Astyanax mexicanus: one gene and its partner. The protein of the gene in region 2 binds, or shares a complex with, the protein of the main gene of each other region. Links are inferred from orthologs where the notes say so. Each region holds a gene or a part of one and is shown on either strand. Other genes may lie near its edges.

The links. The genes of interacting proteins can lie anywhere in the genome.
Region 1: pold1 (region 2) and DNA polymerase delta subunit 4-like share a complex: the UniProt entries of both Homo sapiens proteins name them as parts of the tetrameric DNA polymerase delta complex. The link is inferred for Astyanax mexicanus from reciprocal best matches to the Homo sapiens genes POLD1 and POLD4.

What each region holds. Positions count from the first base shown.
Region 1 is NC_064414.1:44,550,136-44,559,845, forward strand, and holds DNA polymerase delta subunit 4-like, read right to left. Parts: upstream 3,408-9,710; 5' UTR 3,273-3,407; intron 2,946-3,272; 5' UTR 2,944-2,945; coding exon 2,841-2,943; intron 2,701-2,840; coding exon 2,611-2,700; intron 2,015-2,610; coding exon 1,903-2,014; intron 1,803-1,902; coding exon 1,778-1,802; 3' UTR 1,706-1,777; downstream 1-1,705. Other genes in the region: ssrp1b (FACT complex subunit SSRP1), read left to right, coding at 5,123-5,176, 5,993-6,178, 6,273-6,378, 7,153-7,346, 7,991-8,091, 8,428-8,557. UniProt on the Homo sapiens protein: As a component of the tetrameric DNA polymerase delta complex (Pol-delta4), plays a role in high fidelity genome replication and repair.
Region 2 is NC_064426.1:26,989,218-26,999,685, forward strand, and holds the start of pold1 (DNA polymerase delta catalytic subunit), read left to right. Parts: upstream 1-6,260; 5' UTR 6,261-6,421; intron 6,422-8,177; 5' UTR 8,178-8,186; coding exon 8,187-8,373; intron 8,374-9,207; coding exon 9,208-9,321; intron 9,322-9,421; coding exon 9,422-9,562; intron 9,563-9,779; coding exon 9,780-9,905; intron 9,906-9,990; coding exon 9,991-10,159; intron 10,160-10,468. UniProt on the Homo sapiens protein: As the catalytic component of the trimeric (Pol-delta3 complex) and tetrameric DNA polymerase delta complexes (Pol-delta4 complex), plays a crucial role in high fidelity genome replication, including in lagging strand synthesis, and repair.

The DNA.
Region 1 (9,710 bases), on a different chromosome or scaffold from region 2:
AACCCACCCCAGATCCAGTAATTGTTGATCAGTCCTGCACACTATCTTGGAGGAATTTTAGCCCATTCCTAGGTATAAAAGAAATTGAACTTTGTTATGTTGGTGGCCTCTGTGGGAAAACTTATTGCTGCTATAGACTAAGATAAAACTTAACACTTTGTGAGAACTCCCAGACCTAATGAATGAGCATATCAGCATATAGTACAATAATATCAACAGAACTCCCACATTTACCTGCTGTGGTAATGTAGTCTGATGTATAAAACCAACATATTGATTCTGTTGGCATAAAAGTGACTATGAAAATACCTACAACTTTAGTTAAAATACAAAAGAAATAAAAAAAAATAAATACCAATAATTATTTAAATAATCATTCATTAATTTGTCAATTTAATTAATTAAAAAAAAGAAAAAATAGACAAACATTATACAGGGTATACTAGAAGTCACCTAAAATAATTGGTCTGAGCCCCAGATTTTTACATACATCCATACAACACCCCATAAAAGAAAGCAGTAAAATAACCTTCAACTCACGGCTCATCATACAAACGACTTAGAAGCTAACAATAGAGCAGCAACAATAGTCACTGTTCTCCTCTCTACTGCTCAGTGGAGAATCACAGGGTTATTGAACTACCTGTGTTTCTGATCTAAAAATCAGCATTAGTGAGACTTGCTCTGTGTGATAAAGCAGATACTTCACAGGATGGTAGATAATTTGCCAAATAAAAATATTAAAATAAAAACCTGGGTTTAACTTCACAACTGTTAAGCTGTCTTAACAGCTGAGCTTTCTGTCAATATTGTGTGCCTTTGTGTGACTGTACTGTATATTCCTTAGTACTGTATATTCCTATACTTCTCAGGCCATTAGTATTAATTCGTTAGCACAAGTAAATCAATCCAGCAGTTAATTTCATGACCTTAGCTTATGTAAGCCTTATCTCTAGAAATTGTGGCTGGTGCATTTTCATGTGTCATGTATTCTCAAAGCACTACCAAACCTACAGAAAATGCTTTATGTCACGAAACAAGCTAATATTCACCTATAAGGTGTGTGCTTGTACTCTGTGTACTTCATTTAGAAAATTTAAAGAATGGATGGACCTTATCATATTATCTCACTATGGGTTTTCTTATTTTTAATTAGTGTTTAATTAGTCATTTTCTTTGCTCTAATTTGTACACCATATTATTTAAAGCCTGTTCATGTTCAATTAGGGTTATATTAAACAAAAACAACACATTCTAACATATTCCAAAGTCTGCAGCGCCAAAACTCCACAGACCAATGCTGGAGCTTTATAACTTAAATTGCTGATGACTGGCTTTGGGCCTAGTGAGATTATTTTCAATATGCTGCTACTTCCATTATTAAAGCTGATACAAGCACTGTGATACAATCACCAACAGATGCATCCTAAATTAACAGATTTTGTACACAATAGTCTATCCTTTTCATTTCTTTGACACTTCATTCCCAATCGTAGAATAAACTATACAACCTGCCAGTTGCAATCAAGGCATTGTGTGTTAGCCTGTTTTGCTTACCTGCTGAGTTTGATAATGTAGCTCACTTCAAGACAGACAGTCCAGTTTAAGAAAGAAAATACCTTAAAAGTTGATGACAAAGGGATGCTTTTGTTAAAAGGGTTTTACTATAAACGTAGTGTAAAACATGGCAAGCTCACATGTTGGATCAATCATGATCATAAACAATCAACAATCATCCACTCTCACAATCTTCTTTTTTCTCTTCAGGCATCTTTCTTTACAATGGGTAATCCCGCCAGAGGCTGAAATACAGGACAGAACAAACAATTACATATGCACTTACAGACCTCCATGTATGTGTAATATTATTATTTTTGCTAAATATATTCATGCTCATAGTACCTATGTGTGTACTCTGGGTCCACGCTCTCCGTCAGCAGTATATCTTTAATCTCATGTGGGGGGTCCAGCCCATGCAGTGCTGCCCTCTCCCATCTTTGTAATCGGCTGATCCCTACATACACATTCACACATGCAAGAGAGGAAGTACATAGGTACATACCAAAATTCCAAATGACTTCTATCCTTCTGTGAAATTTGTTAAGAAGAAAAAAATAATCAATACTTTATTTACAATGTGCATATGTTTATCCACATTTAATAATTTAGCAGTGGTTCTGGAGGCACCCTCCTCTGTATATTTTTCGCTTTTCCTTATTCCAACACATGCTTTAACTACACTCTCATACACTCTCATATGCAAAGGCTGCATCATTAGTCATCATTTGCAAGACTGAAACTAGATTCCTTTTGAGATTTTACTCATGCTTCTTATTTTGGCCACATCTGAAGCAATATGTGCAAAAGTTTGAATAGAAAAAAATCTCTGACATTTGTTAAATGTGTATAAGCAAGGGAAACACTACAATTGTACAGCAGGGTGCATCCTAGATTAAAATTTCCCCCCAAATACCCAGTGTTTTCCAGCAGCCATTTTTTTAGTTTGAAAGGGGCATTTCTTTGTACCCATAATAATATTAACTTCCTGAGCACTAAGGATTTGTCAGTGTAATTAGAGAATTATAAACACTTCTGACTCTTTTGTATTACCTGTGCATGGCCCAAAACGCCAGTCCAGGTCAAACTTTCTCAGTTCCTGCAGATCAATTTCTCTTTTACTGGGGCGAGGAGGTTCTGGATCTGAGAGATCATCAAATGGTAATAACATAACAACAGAATAACAATTGCAAATCTTTCCATTCATCAACATAGTTTTGATACCAAACTATATAAAAACAACATGATTCTAACTTAAGCTGCACACTATCACACAGTCTCACCTGCAGCAGGTGGTGAAGGAGGTCTCTTGTTTCTTTTGTCATCTTTCCTCGCCTTCTTCACTACTTTAAATGTGTCAGTGATGAGACCTCGTTTGGCTGTCATGCCTGGGGGAAGGGAATCAATGGTGTCCGACAACACCCATCAAGAACCACACATTTAGGACCTATCACATGCATGTCCCATGTACTTTCATTTTCCCATTTGGCCAAAAACTCTGTCCAATATGATCTGATACCCCCAAATATCAGAATTTTATCCCAGTTAAAGTTAAAAAACACTGTCTACGTGTACATAATACTGAGCTGAGCTGTGCCCAGTCTCAGGTATTGTTTCCTGTGTCTTAAACTCAGACCGTGTTCACATATTTATAAACAGTATCTGTAGCTCTCGTGTTCATAAATGTTTTACAGTTCTGAAGCTACAGCACTCACCTGCAGCTCTGTGTATCCAGTGAACACTGTAACCACTGTAAACACCGCGGATCCTCAGTCAACGATAAGATTTCCTACCCGAACGTTTACAAAACAAGGGTAGGGGCGTGGCCAAGCACACTGCGTGATGACGTTTGTGGGGGGCTTATTTCGTACGTATGACGTACGCACTCATGTTGCTCTACTGCCTCGTTCGTTTCAGCATTGAACCGATTCATTTGAACCAAATTATTCAAACGATTCATAGTCTCACGTTAAATCATAACAATAAAAATGACAACAAAAACAACATTAAAAACCCTTTACCTCTCCTTAAATTTCTGTCATGTTATATTATTATTATTATTATTATTATTATTATCATTATTATTATTATTATTATTATTATTATTATTATTATTATTATTATTATTATTATTATGACATCTTTAATTTACTAAGTGAATTGGTTAATTATGAGATTTTATATCATAAGTCTATACGGTGGGTATCTACAATTTTTTTTATAATATTGAGTTGATTCTGTTATTCTATTAGTTTTTTACTACTACTACTACTACTACTACTACTACTACTAATAATAATAATAATAATAATAATAACAATAATAATAATAATAATAATAATAATAAATTATTTAGACCTTAGAGTTAGACACTAAAATACTACATTAATACATAAATTATGACATTTTATATAAATAATTTATAGAGTATCTCCTTTTTTATTCTGATATACTACTACACAGTTAATAATAATAACGACATAATAATTACTACATAAATATATGGAAGTATCTATTTTTATTTCAAGTGTTTAAGACTATCAGTCAAATATAAGGAAATATAAAAAAACATATTTTTTATTTATTTATCAAAACAAAGCTACAAAAAAGTAAATGGCTCGGATTTACTTGTTTTTTTAAATGACTCGATTCAAAAGAATCGTTCATTCACGAGTTGGACATCGCTAGCGGTTTCCTCTCAGTTCCAGAATTCTCCAATAAACAGTAAATGCTATTTAACAGCAGCTGCGCGGTTCAGCCCTCGCTGTGACTCAGGAGTGTGTGACCCTGTAGTGAGACGCTGTGTGCGGATATCAGATAAAAACGAGTCCTTTGCTTGTTGGAGGAATGCTAAGCTGCAGTCTATTTCAGGAGCAGCAGCTCACAGCTAGCTATCCAGCTATTAGCGAATATGTCTGCGTGTGTTTAGCTCGCTGGCTGGGCCGTGGCACTGTTTAAAACTGTTTAAAATAAAATTGTCAGATTTGCTGCTTAAAATGTTAGCTAATAGATTCATAGCAAAACAGTCAGACAGTGAGTTTGTTAGTTAGCTGTCTGTCTAACCAGGTGTTCTGCATGGCAGCTGTTCTGTTTCTCCATCAGCATCTTCATTTAGCATCATTTAGAGAACAAAAAGGTGCTGCTGAACTCCATCACTTTATTTAAGGGGAGCTCAGAATAGAGAAGAAGCAGAACTGAACTTCTGCACATTCCCCATAAGATATGTTTCACCTGTACCTTCACCCCCCCTTCAGGCTTCAGAGAGCAAAATCAGCTCATATAGATAATATATATCAATACCAGCCTGTCAAAGCACCTGTTCTGACACAGCATAAGATTTGAGCAGTTTTAATCCATTGATTCTGGATATGAAGAAGCATATATGCATATGTTTTAAACATAATTTCCAGGATTTTACCATCCCCAAATGCGGCAACACAGAAAAGTGCAGTGAGAAAATATTTGTGATAAAGGGAGAACAGATTTGTATGTGTATTGATTTCTCTTACTGTTTTTTTTTCTTTCACAGATTTGTATTGCTGGGACAAGGGAGGAAACTGCTGGCATGGCTGACAATCTGGAGTTTAATGATATTTATCAGGAAGTTAAGGGTTCTTGGGTGAGTATCTTCAAGTAGAGCACTTTACAGTATGTGATAAATTGAATGTCTGTTTTCTATATATGTAAAAATAATAAAAAAATAAAAGTAATGTGTAGAGATTGTTTTTAATAAAAACCCACTGTTTTATTATTGAGTGTAATCAATTAATTAATACACAAAGTCATTCAGAGTGTTTTGACGTGAAATGATGGACTGTATAAAACTTGCTGACACACATTTTTTACAGTAATCAAGGGTCAGTGTAAATATAGTAATTTATTTGCTATTCTACATAATCCATCTTCTGACTACTTATATGTAATTCTGATAATAGTAGTAAAAAGTAGTACATCAGAACTGTTTTCTCATTTGTCTGTCTTCGCATGAATCTCTCTTTAAAAATATTTAGCGTTTTGTCCAAAACAAAAACAATGTTGCAAGCAAAACGTATCATATATGAACAGTTCTTGAAAACACAAATATTTCTTAATTTGTTTGTGAAAAAAGTAAAAAAAAAACCTGTGGAATTCCCATTTGAATGTAAATACAAAACCATGCACTATATATCAACAGGCTTAAGCTATGCATAATGTGTTTTACACTTATCCTATTGAAAAATATATTTAAAAAAAACATTGCAGAAATTATTGTAGCCATGAAGATAAATTAAATTGTCACCATGTTTTGAAGACGTTGTCTCCACATCTTAGCCTGCTTCAAGTAAGATGTTGTTAGCATAAAAATGCAACATGCTTTTATAAAAATACATATGTATCATTCACATGTGCCAACAAATAATGCAGAAGATTAGCACAAGTTCCTGTATTTTTGCAGAACGATGGGCGTCTACGGTTCAGTAAGCAGACAGTGGTTTATAAAAACAGTAAGACGGGGAAGGTGGACAGTATCCCTGTCCCAGAGCTCACTCAGGCCCAGTGGAGGAGAGTCTGCCTGGGACACGGCATCAAGCTCTGCACCAGCACTGGACACGTCTATAAATATGACGGCTTTAAGGACACGGTGGGTGTAATGGCTGTTTATTTTGTGTGAATAAAATTCAAAACAATATTTATTTTAATTAAACATGTTTATTCTTTATTTTGTTTCTTTCAAGGACTTGGAAAAAATCTCAGAGTATTTTAAAGCCAATTATAAAGTGGAGCTGGCTGAGAAAGACATGTGTGTGAAAGGCTGGAACTGGGGAACTGCTAAATTCAATGGTTAGTATAAGTTCATAACATAAAGTTTTTTATGTCTAAATTAGTTTGGTTTAATGTGAGGGATTGTAAGTCATGGTACAGTGCTCTGTGAGGAAAGCTATTAGTTAAGTGGCTTGCGTGAATTTAAGTCTAGTCTAGAGGCTTTACTCGTCATTTCAACCATAAAATTCTACACAGTGGAGCGAAATAATATTCCTCCAGGAGCATGGTGCAACACCATGTGTGTGTGTGTGTGTGTGTTGAAGATAAGGTGGGGAGATTTAAAACATTTTATGAAATATAGATATTTTACAGTCAGCTTATAGAATATGATCACAGTAATTGCAGAGATAAAGAGGGTACAGTTTTTCTAATAAATACAGTACTCAGCAGTAGGTCTGTCACGATAATTACATTATTAACTTGAAATAAAATTGTGTTTAATTCTTGGTTTGTTCACATATATAACAGTGAACAGTATTTTAGCCAGTCATGTAATGATCAATGCTTTTCATGTAATGACCAATGCTCTCCAAACACACAGTGTGAACTTCAGTAGGTGAAGGGAAAAAATATTTTATTCCCTATAATATATTTTGTTAAGCCATTTGTTAATAATTTGTTTATCCATTCTGTAGTCATTATGTCAGTGGCATTTAAATATAAAATAATAAAATAATATCATTTATTGCAATCATTTCTGGACGATATATATCATACACATAAAAATGCTATTGTGACAGGCCTACTCAGCAGCATTACTAAAAAATAATTGTCCTCTGAATGTAATTCTAGGCCCACTGCTGTCATTTGAGGTGAGTGACAGCCCTGTGTTTGAGATTCCACTCTCCAGCGTTTCTCAGTGTGCAACTGGAAAAAATGAGGTCACACTCGAATTTCATCAGAATGATGACACAGAGGTGTCCCTCATGGAAGTGCGGTTTTATGTCCCGCCCACCACAGCAGATGAGGGAGCAGACCCTGTGGAGGTGAGAGAGAGCCTGTGTGTGTTTGTGTATGTGTGTGTGTGTGTGTGTGAGTGTGTTTTCTCTGTACAAAAAATCTGAGAATAAGTTTGATGATGTTTGTGCTAGGCATTATGACCTGAAAAATCATGATTAATTGATATTAGTTAAGATCAGAGTTAGGCTTATTTTTGCATATAAATGCACAAACTGGATGATGAGATCTTTTGTATGCATTGTTTTACTGTGACCACTAAGAGGAGCCCTTTTCAAATAAACAAGATCTACATTGGGCTGAGGACAAAAAAGAGACAAAATATACTTATTATTATCATTATTATCATATACCAAAAAACTACAAGAAATATTAAAATATAGAACATAGTATTTCTTTGTGATCCAGCTGAAGGGAGTGGTTAGGGTCACATCAAATGTTCTAAGAGCTGCACTTTGGGCAGTTTTGATCCAAAGAAAGTCTAAATGAGAATGTGAATGAAATCAGAGGTAGCGCCTCTCTCAGTCTGGACTGTCTTTTTTTAAAGCATAAAGTACAGGTTTCATTTTAAACACCTCTTCCACTAAGATCAATTACAGGCAGTTATGAGGATCCTAATTCTATAACACTCTTAAGCAAATAGACTAAACGGTTTAATGTGATTCTCTTACAGGCGTTTGCTCAGAATGTTCTTTCTAAGGCAGACGTGATCCAGGCCACAGGAGATGCTGTATGCATCTTCAGAGAGCTGCAGTGTCTCACTCCCAGGGGCAGGTACAAACACACACACACACAAACACACACAAGGCATCATGTCTCTTGGTCATACTGTCAACATGACTGCAAAAAAGAAATTCTGTTTAATTCTATTGTTATATTGCTGCTATCTGCAAAACCGTGTATCTCCAAAGTAGCAGCTTAATACTTTCAGGTTAATAGATCTGATTACAACTCATTTTATAAGCAAGAATTTATATTGGCCTATATATTTTAATGATGATCATATTTAAATGAAGAGAATATAATGCATTCCATGTTGTATTATTTCATTAAAATAAAGCATTACTCAGTTTTAGTGGTATTTGTCATGTTGCTTCTTTCCTTTGACAGGTATGACATCCGTATCTACCCCACCTTCCTGCATCTGCATGGTAAAACATTTGACTACAAGATTCCTTACACCACGGTACTGCGGCTCTTCCTGCTCCCTCACAAAGACCAGAGACAGATGTTCTTTGTGGTGAGTGATGGTTCTGCCTTTCTGATGAATATTTTATATTTAAGTCATTTAAGTCATAAGATTTATATTTTATATTTAAGTCAAGAACAATTGAAATTACTTTAAAAATTGAGAAAGAATCTTGAGGCCTTCAAACATTTAACAGTAAGGTCTTCAAAGGTCCCATATCTTTAAAAAGTGTTAATAATGTAGTAATGTATAATACATAAAGCATATATATATATATATATATATATATATATATATATATATATATATATATATATATCGCTTTTTAAGAACAGGAGTATTTAAAATAAACTCACTTTGAGATTGTTCCTAACTTACATTGGGATCTGAGATTTCCATTGTGTCCCAGTGCTAGAATCTTTTCCTCGCAGAAGAATTAAGTTTTATTGGAATTCTACATTTTAAGTCATTCCTCAGTTATAGAATTAAGTAAGGGCTTTTTAATGTCCACTCACCAGTTTCACTTTACACAAAACATAATTGGCTGATCCTATAATAACACATGACAGATTCACAAATACACCAGTTTGACACACTAAGAGGCAAGACTGGGCTGTGGTACGACAAAGATATTACTAGAAACATCCAGAAACCTTCATGAAAGCATTAAATGTGACTGTTTTTAAACATTTAAATTAGGGTTGTGCCATTTTGTATCGTACACAATAATATAACCAACATTTTTTGTAATATTGTGATTGCAGAAATACCCTGAAGTATTAATTAGGGGCCATATGGGCCATTTGGGTTTTTTTGCTGTTTGTTGAAAAAAAAAATTCACACTGTTCTCATTGACCATTAAATATAAATTAGACAGATTATTTCCATCCAGAATCATTTATTTTACTTCAGTTCAGTGGATATATGGACTGCATTATTAGTATCATGACCTGTTAGATTATTCACTTTCGTTACAATCTAGTGAAAAATGTATTCTTGAGATTATTATTATTTTTTAATTCATTGTTCACAAAAATTACAAAAATACCCTAGAATATTGTGATATTATTTTAGCGCCATTTTGCCCACCCCTAATTTAAATACAAATATTCACATAAGAAGGCCTCAGTAAAAATAGTAAAAGTAAAATGTAGGATTATGGGCTAAACATTTATTTTAGCACACTAGTAGTATTATATTTATC
Region 2 (10,468 bases):
TGCTACAAACACTAAACCAGCAGCCACCAGTCTTATCCACAAAGGGCCAGTGTGGCTGTAAGCTCTTGTTCCAGCTAAGCGGCAAAAACACATGATCAATTGGTTTGAAGATAAATATCTACTGATTAAACAAATGGAATCAGGTGTGTGCCAGTTTGATTAGATGTTAAACCTGTGGCCATATGCCAGTCCTTTGCAGTTAAAAGAGAAATACAGTATAAAATGTACTTGGGTTGTAGAAAAACATGACGAGTACAAACTTTTGTCAAAAATCCCACCTCTGTTCACCCCCAGCATTCTGAAATACAGAGCTTTTAGATGATGCTCCCAACAGTTTTACAATGCTAGAGATAGGGGCGTAGAGTTACCTATGCTAAGAAATCACTATTTTAGACCATTAAAGCTGGAAATGCATTTATTTTAGCTGCCGTTGAACAATTCTCTATAATATTCATATATTTTCACCAATTTAAGGTTGCAATCTGTTCTTCTACTTGTTTGTGCTCATCAGCTGTGATTTTAAGATGGCGGCATCCAGAGAACTACTGTGATACTGTGGGTACACACGGCCAGGCACGTCTTGTCAGACAGGAGCAAACATGGCAGTTCGTTCCTGTGTTTTTTGTGCAAATATGCTATATATATGCTTTGCCTATTCATTCAGAGCTAAGGAACAAATGGCAAAAGACTGTCTTTATTTTAAAATGTTTCTAACTGTTGTTCGTCTGCCTGCCTCACAGTGCTATTAGCCAATCAGAGGTAATATGTTTGCATCATGTTTTCCCTCCACTCCTCCACTGGACTAAAGCAGCGTTATAATGGATCACTGGAGCACTTTTTTCACAAAAAAACAGTTATTAGAATTAGACATTTTAAAATTAACAAAAAAACAATGGAATGAGACCTTTAAAACATAATTCGATTAATCAAATTAATTTGATTAACCTCTCAGCCTTATTCCAAATCATTCTTGAGCATTTCTATTTGTCTGGATTCACATTACACCAAAGGGTGAAAAAATAGTAATTTTTAATGTTTAATATTCACATTAAAACCATTAGATTTATTGGATATACTAATAGAGCATGGCTCATGCTGGCCTATTTTTTTGTGTTAATTTTATGTTGCGATGAACAAAATGCTTCAAGCCTCACGAGTGCATGTGGCATGAGCATCCATGTGTGTGCATCACTGCGTTACATGATGCCAGCATATGAGTCTGCAAGTGTTTGTGTTTAGGAATAGCACTGTATATCAGTCTGTAACTGCTCAACACATACTTTCTGTCTTCTCTGACACAGACAAGCAATTCCACAGCTAATTTAATGACTGCCCCAAATAAACAAATGCACCTAGCATGACTCTCATGTGCTGAAATGTTACTATCTCTCTCATCGACACCACCACAATCACGTGGGTCATTCTAGAATTGCATGTCCAAAAAACATTTTTCCAATTAGTTTCTAATAATAATACTAGTTTTATACATTTTTCAGCATTAATACTGCTTGGTGTATGATTTTTTTCTGCCCCAGTGTTCTGGTCAACTCTCTCTGTTATCTTTAATAGAAGTTGGTTAAATTGTACAAACAGTTATAAATCCATAATATAAAACATGTGACTTGCACCCACTTATGACACTGAAGCTTCTATCTGGAAATGTAAAAGGCAGAGAGATGTCAAACTTTCAGTGTCATTTTTGAATAAACTGTTGAGGATAAACCAACAGTATATAATTTATTGGTCAAATTTGAGTAATTCTTCCATTTGTAATCTAGTTTATGAGGTAACACACTGAGTTACGGAACAAAACGCTGGAAAGTGTCAAAACGTGTTCATTTTTTAATGGTTTAGATGGTTTAATGATAACTGACTAATATGTCAAAGCTTTTCATACACGAAATGCACCCACAATTTTAAAATGGGCCACAAACACAAGTTCTCAGACCCTGGCCTCAACCTCATATAAGTTAATGGATTGAACCTTATCTAAAGGATGAAGGACACAGAAAGAACTGGGATTACAGCAAGAGGTGGTGGAGATTAAGTAACCGAGGAAGGAAGTAGAGTTTTGTGGCCACATCAAGCTAACACTTATTTCGAGTCAGAACATGAAATCATACATTGGTGGCTTTGGCCTACACACAAAGTCTTAAGGTATTAAAGACATTTTAAAAGATTTGTAACACCACCTTAATGTTTTTTTAAATCAGCACTGCTAATACTAATCCTAATCTCACTTTAAAACCAACCTAAATCTTAAACCTAACACTGCAGCCAATCTAAATAAACTGTTCTTGAGCAAAACAAGGGCTCTGCCTGAATTGCGTACAACCATTAATACAAAAATGTGTATTATATATAATAAAAGTAATAGTACAGGTTTAACAGGTAAATACACAAAATATTAACATTCACTCATCCTGATTCATACTCATATCAAGAGGATGTGATGAAGCAATGCTTTTCATTTACACATAATTCTCTTGCCACTGTAGCTGCCCAACATTTTTTCCCAAATTATACCTCCTCCCTTTTCGTTTCCACTGCATTAGGAAATAACAGTTTCCATTTAAACCATTTTATTCTCAAAAACTGAGTGGACCCATTTATGCATCATGGATTTCTGACAACACTCAATTTAAACTAAACAAACCTAATCAAAAGCAATTGGGACACCCAATGTAAATGTGACAGAGAATAAAGAGATACAGCAGAAATGAAGGTCAAATGGGGGTTAAATGGAGGTTAAGGCTGGAAAGAAAAGCCACATCACACGTCTTCCTACTGCCTAAAGAGTGCACTGTATAGCAAGGGTTTCAAGGGCCTTGTGCAGCACTTCGCTGAATACGCAATAGGTTTTCTCCATCCTAAGACTGGCAAACGTTTGTTTGTTTAGTTTCTGTGTCATTGTATTATTTACTATTAAGCATTAGTGATGCTTATTTTTTTTTAGTTTTGTATCATGTCAACCCCAGTTTTGTATTTGGATCTTATGTGGAAATCGAGATAAGTGATTAAACTAGCTTATAGGGTGTAATCTAGTGTGGGTGACATTTTTGGACTGCTTGACACAATTCAAATTTGTTCTCAAATAGTTATTTAATTAAAGAATGAATCAATAGAACAGAGTCAGGCAATGTGACAAGAAACACATTTATGTGGACAGTGAAAGAAAGAAGTATACAGAGAGAGACGTACAGAGAGAGAGACAAACTGATAGAGAAATAAACAGAGAGAGAGAGAGACATACACACAAAGAGAGAGGCATACAGACACATACAGAGAGAGAGACATACAGACAGACATACAGAGAGAGACATACAGACAGACATACAGAGAGAGAGAGACCTACAGACAGATATACAGAGAGAGAGAGACATACAGTACTTAAAGAGAGAGAGACATACAGAGAGACAGACATGCACAACCGACAGAGAGTGTCTCCAGGGTGAAACCCAAGGAAATTTAATTTTCATTACAGCCACGACCCGCCCCCTTCAGGGCACACATACACACCCCCTCTAACTCAGACTCTCACGGGCAGCACGCTGTTAAAGAACACGCGCCTATCCCACAGCTCCGCTTTACGCTCAAACACATTTCGCCCAAGACTGGAGCTTTACATGTTTAAATGTGGTTAGAATGTGGTTATAAACACGGTCCACGGTGGTTTGTAAGCGTGCGTGCGCGCGCACGCTCTGTCCCCGGTGTGGCGTACGTGCCTTCTTTCTCGCCGCGCTGAACGTCACACTGTGACCAGGACAACAGCAGCGCGCGCGCACAGCCTGCCCTCAGATTAATAACACTACACAGCGCTGCAGGTCAGTGCAGCTTTTCATTAAAACCACACACAGCTACATGTCTCCTGTGCAGAAACGCACTGCTTGCTCCTGCTCCTGCTCCTGCCCGACCCCCCTTTACCCACTACTTCCCTGGACATCAGCCACCAGGAAGGACGGGCAGTAAAGTGAGTTTTATTCTCACGAGCACCAATAACAGGATTCAGATTCTCACGCGACAGCGTGCGCGCGCGTCTTTCCGCGTGCACAGAACAGCAGACACGCTAATGCTCGTGAAAAAAAAAAAAACATAAATATATAAAAGAGACACAAGCTCACCCTGCGGCGGCGTCCTCGCCTGCGACGCTCTCGCATCTGCGCGAATCAATCACCAAACAGCACGACCTGACCGCGGAGGAGGAGCCCGACCAATCAGAGAGCGACTAGCCTCTGACGATCCACGTACGTGCAATGTGATTGGTTTACGCGGAGGGTCTTAAGCCATCTGATTGGCGGAGCATCGTGTCAATTAGGCGCTGACTGCTCGTGAGGAACGTGAGACTGTTTTTAATGCTGAACGATTTTATCCCCCGGCAGAGAAAAGGGCAGCACAGTTATTTTTACAGCACGCTGTAGCGGTCAGAGCAGAATATAGTGGTGACTACGACGTGAATAGATGTGAGGACATCACAGAAAATACACACACATGAACACAGAATGTACAATGTACAGTCTTAGTTCAGTGTCAAACATTTATTTTTATTTTATAAAATATACACATATTGGCAGTGTGGACAGTGTGCCAAGTCCTGCTGGAAAATGAAATCCGCATCTCCATAAAAGCTGTCAGTAGAGGGAATCATGAAGTGCTCTAAGACTTTGGGCTTGATATAACACGGTGAACCAACACCAGCAGATGATACGGCTCTGATTGTGGAAACTTCACACTTAGACCTCAAGCAATTTGGACCGTGATCCTCTCCACTCTTCCTCCAGGATCTGGTCCCTTGATTTCCAAATAAAATGCAAAATTTACTGATGGTCAGTGATGGTTTGGAGAGCCATGTCATCTGCTGGTGTTGGTCTACTGTGTTATATCAAGTCCAAAGTGTCCAACTGTAGAGTGATTTTCTAAACCAGACCACACACATTTCAATGCATGCATGTCTTTACGTGTTGTACAAAACACTAATAAACCTTCAACTGATCTATCCAGCCTGTCAGACACCATACACAAGCCATGTCCGTGTTAAATGATTACTACTGGTGGAATATGAGATGATTTTACTCAGTTCTGCAAATAAACGCGGACATTGTGTTACAGTCCCTGTCAGGGATTAGACCAGAGTTCCCCATCACAAGTCGGGCACGTGCACTGCAGAGGGTAGTGTTTTTACCCTAGCTCTGTGAGCATAGACTGTATATAAGATATGTATCCTGAGTCAGAATATATATTGATAACCTGTCAGCGCAAAACTGTAAAAAAACAGTACAATGGCTGAATTTTTTTCTTTTTTTTTTGTAAAAAAAAAATACATGTTTACATTGAAATTATTGAAGACCATTATCTATTATTATTATTGTACTCCTTTTCCTTAAGCAGCATATATTTGTAAGGTAAGTAAGAGTGTGGAGATTGCATAACTATACTATCCGAGATGCTGCGCTTGGTTGACTGATTGACTGATGAACTGATGAATTGATTGATGGATTGATGATTTATGAAGGTCACCCTCCCCCCATAACATTTCTAATGAATTGGATGCCATTTCCTGCATTCTGGTGTATTTTTAACAGGTTGTTAAACAACAAATTTTATCTACAAAAGAGGCGTAATTCAATTACTCTTTTAGAGTCAGACAGAAAAAAATATCATCTTTTAGGAAACTGATTCGAACGGCTTGAAAAAAGATTCAAACCTTTAAAAAAAACTGATTCAAACTGCTTGGAAAAGATTTTAACCTTTTAAAAAAACTGATTCAAACTGCTTGAAAAAAGATCCAAACCTTTTAGATAATTGATTCAAACTGCTTGGGAAAAAATGTGAACTTTTTAGAAAAATAATTTAAACTTCTTGAAAAAGATTCGAACCTTTTAGAAACCGATTCAAACTGCTTAAAAAATATTTTTACATTTTAGAAAACTAATTCGAACGGCTTAAAAAAGTTTTAAAACTATTCGAAAACTGATTCGAACTACTTAAAAAAGTTTAGAATATTTTAGAAAACTGATTCAAACTGCTTTAGAAAAAGTTTTGAATCTTTTGGAAAACTGATCCGAACTACTTTTTGAAAAAGTTTCGAACCTTTTAGAAAACTATTTGAACTATTATTTTAATCTACTTAAATAATTCGAACTATATGTATATAGTTCGATGCATTTGTGGATCAGCATGACAACAATACGTTTATACGTGTGATCGTAAAAGTACTTTTATTTTATAAGATGGTTTTTGTAACAGGGCAGCTTCCTGGGTTTGAGCCAATCACTGTCCGCGACCCCCTTCACGCAAATTTGCCGGGAAACGGAGATCGCGGCATGTATACGAGCAGAGAGAACAGTGGAGCGCGTGAATGTCAAAAAAGTGGCGGGAGATTCAGGCTGGGTCCGAGAGAGACAACACAGTATTGATCTGAAAAGTACGGGCTTCTATTTAACCTGCTAACCCTGTTTACTTACACGTCGGGTTGTTTAGCTACAGGTCTGCTAGTTAGTTAGCGTGCTAGCTGTGTGCAAACCGGTTTTGGTACAGTGTTAGTGTTAACACTGCTTTGCTAACTGACTTTTCTGTTTATATGGTGAAGCTAGTTGTTGCTGCTGCTGTTGTCTAGGTTGGAATTTGACTGTTCTGGCAGATCTTTTATAGTTTGGATATTAACTAGATTAGCTTAGCTATGAAGCTTAACTACGTGATGTACTCTAAAACGGTGTTGTATTGTTCTGTCTGTTTTTTAGTAGTTTTCTGCGGGTCAAGGAAACTTAGTAGTTAGTTAGCTAGCTAGCTTTAGCTCATGTTTGTTTGGCTCTAGCTAGCTTACCAACTTACCTATTTAATATATGGTTGATAACCTTGTACTTAGCTAGTTACTGTAACGTTAAAGTTGCTCCTCTGTTTGCGTCTTTCTGTTGTTTATTTTCCTGGATGTTTTACGTGCTATGTTGGGTAACAACACAACAATGGGGTGATAGATATTATTGCTTTCTCTTTGTATTAGCTAGTGACACTTCTGCTGTCTGACAAGCCACGTTAAGCACATGAACAGGGACTAAACTGCTCTTGCTTCAGCGTCTCTCTCTCTCTGGAAACACAGTTTCTTTTATAACTAATTTCATAAATTATAAATATAATTTACTCGCAGTAAAAGCTAATAATGCTGAGAATGAAAAATAGCGTAGGTTAGCTGGGTTATCAAACCGCTTTGGTAGATTTTTTTTTTTTTTTTTTTTAGAATAGACCAGTTTCCTTTGCCCAAGCCTAATTAGTACTTTTTGAAGCTATCCTCTAGATGCAAAACTTGGCAAAGTTTGGGCGCTATTAAATATTTTTTGTTTTTTAAATTTATTTCCCCCTTTTTGATTTGAGGTGTCTTCATATTTAAAAAAAATATTTCGGTTTTGGATTTCGTCTGTGTTCTTTACATCACAGAAACCACAGGACACCAAACATTGTATAAATATTAAAAGTAATTAAGGTGGTTGACAATAAAAAACACATCATATAAGTAGAGCTGGACTACATGTCGATATGTTATTGTATTGTGATAAATAGGTTTTTTTTATTGAAAATATGCCAAGGATATAGTTACTCCCTAAAGAAGCCTGACCCAACTGTACATTTTATTACAGAGAGTGTTGAAACTCCTATTAAATTGAATCATGTGCAGCAGATATTATATATAAATAACTTGACTGTTAATGAAAGAGTATTTAAATACTGTTTAGTACATTTTTTATAGAATCTGCCACAATAAATACATTGTTTTATAAGATATCTTTTAATACTGTTGTATAACATTTTCCATATTGCCTAATTCTCTCAGTACATGATTATGTACAGCAAGAGTGGTGGGTTTTATACTGTGCATATTAATATTGCAGTTATATCGTATTGACTGAAATTAAGACATGTTGTGATATAAATGTTCTCCATATCGTCCAATCCTACATATAGTTATACAAGTTATTTTTGCGTTTAAACATCCCCATATTAAAAGAAATATACGAATAAAAGTTTAATTTAGTTCAGTGACTTTGATTTAGTGTTTGAAATGATTTGTGCACTTTTACTTTTGCCCACCCACAACTGGGATATTCCACCGTCCATTAATGCATTGATCTTTGTTTAATTAGTACATTAACAGTGTTGACCCTTATATGTATGTGTGTTTACTGTAGGTGCTGAGGATGGATGGGAAAAAGCGCAATGGTGGGCCTACACTGGGTGGAGCCTCCCAGACTAAGAAAGGCCGAGTGGGTACAGATTGGGACGATGGACCTTCCCATTTTGAGGAGGAGCTTGCTTTATTTGATGAAATGGAGATGGATGCAGAGTCAGGGGAGGGACAGGCGGGTCATGATGTAATTCCAGTGGGTAAGTGGTACTGCCAGAGTTGGTCCCAAATTTGTATTGTTTCACAAAGCAGGATTTCTCAGTTATTTAATAACATGGGCCCAATCCCCTTTCTCATCTGTACCCCTACCCCTTGTTTTCGAGTGTCATCTTTCTATTTGAACTGAGTTACAAAAGGAAGTGGATGAAGTTCTCACTCTACAAAATGATTCAGCCCTGTTTGATTAAAGAAATGTACATTGCTTCATTATTAGGATATTAGGGATGCTCTGTAGACGACCCTGCAATTGGGTTCAGATTGATGAGTTATTTATTATTGTCCGTCCCTATTTTCTCTGTTATAGGAAGATAAAGTTACCTATTCACTAACTACTTATTTAAATTTTCCCAAACCACCTTAAATGCCAAAGTCCCAGTAAATGCTCCTCCACTATTGTAGGTGGAACAGGATTTTTTTTTGTTATCTTGCTTGTTATGAAGAAAAGGCCCATAATTTATTAAAAAATATAAGGTAAGATGCAATGGTTTTTATAATTTTTAACAAATATAAAGGTTTATTTGTGGGTTTCTTCAGTTCCTTTAGGTAAGAATGTACAAAACGGAAGGGTAGGACTAAGTGGTTGGGACAAGAGGTGAATTGGGATGTGCCAAAAAGTGCCAAAAATAGGACTGCCCATAGGAATGTATAACAACTCTTCTCTTATTGGACAGGCAATTCAGGTCCTGCTTTATATATATATATATATATAACCTCATCTTGTTTTGTGTTTGAGAAATGGTATTTTATGTTGGCTAATTATGTTAAACAATTTATTTTTTATTTTGCATTTTTTTCTTTTTTCTTTTTTGGCTCAGGTGACTTGTTCTCGGCTGATCTAAACCCTCGCTGGCGGCGTCCCACAGCTCCTACTATCAAACCTGACAAAGACACCCTCATCTTTCAGCAAATAGATTTGGACTATTACCTGGGTAAAGTATTCTCAACCCTAGTGAGAAAGCAGCTACCGGTTTCATGTATTTTTCTTTTATATTCTGATGTTGAAATACATCCATGCATGCATGTGTGTAGGTTCTGCAGTGGCTGGGATGCCAGGACAGGTCCAGGGGAAAGTTCCAGTGGTCCGTATGTTTGGAGTGACCGATAATGGGAACAGTGTTTGCTGTCATGTGCACGGCTTTGCGCCTTACTTTTATGTTCCTGCTCCCGCTGGTGAGTAAAAACAACCAACACTACATACGTTATCATTAATAATCATGCTTTATTATCGTATCTATACTGATTAAGATTAGAGATGACATGCTGTGTGTTTCTGGTTGCTTTGTTTTTACAATGAGAGCTAAATATGAAAATATGGGACCATAGAACGCAGATTGCCTTCCCATACTGATTAAATATGAATAATTCATGCTAATTTTCTTTCTTTTAGGTTTTACTGCTGCTCACCTGTCTGAGTTTCAGAAAGAGCTGAACTCTGCTGTGTTGAAGGACATGCGTTCCAACAAAGACAACATATCTGTCACTGTGCTGGCAGTGGACATGACCCGCAAAGAGAGTATGTTACATCTTTGTGTGATTTAAGGTTGTGTGAATGTACATGTTTAGTTTGTTATAAATTGCCTTTTTTGTTCTTATTTGAGATATGTATGGTTACCATGGAAGCCGTCCTTTGGACTTCCTGCGGATTACCATGGCAATGCCTCGTCTGGTTGCCCCGGCGAAGCGCCTGTTGGAGCAGGGCTTTAAGTTTGCGAACTTCTCCACACAGAGTTACTCTCCCTATGAGGCCAATATTGACTTTGAGATCAGGTATGTAAATATGGATGGTTTTCGCCTGAATCAGTAGATTTTAATAGATGGTGTAGGTTGTGATTTTTAAAGACACAAAAGAAATTAAACTATGCATCTGTAAATTCCTTGCTAAGAACTACATGTGGCTTGTAGTTATTTGTAAAGTGAAACCTAAGAGCTCCATCTTCGGCCAACAGTCTTTATAAACAGCTTATGCCTGCACCATTTCAATAGCAACAGAGCTTATGAATATATCTATGCTAATGGCTGTGGTGATTTTGAAATGAGGTGTGTTCAGGTAAATTCTGACGTATTGTTATCTTTGCA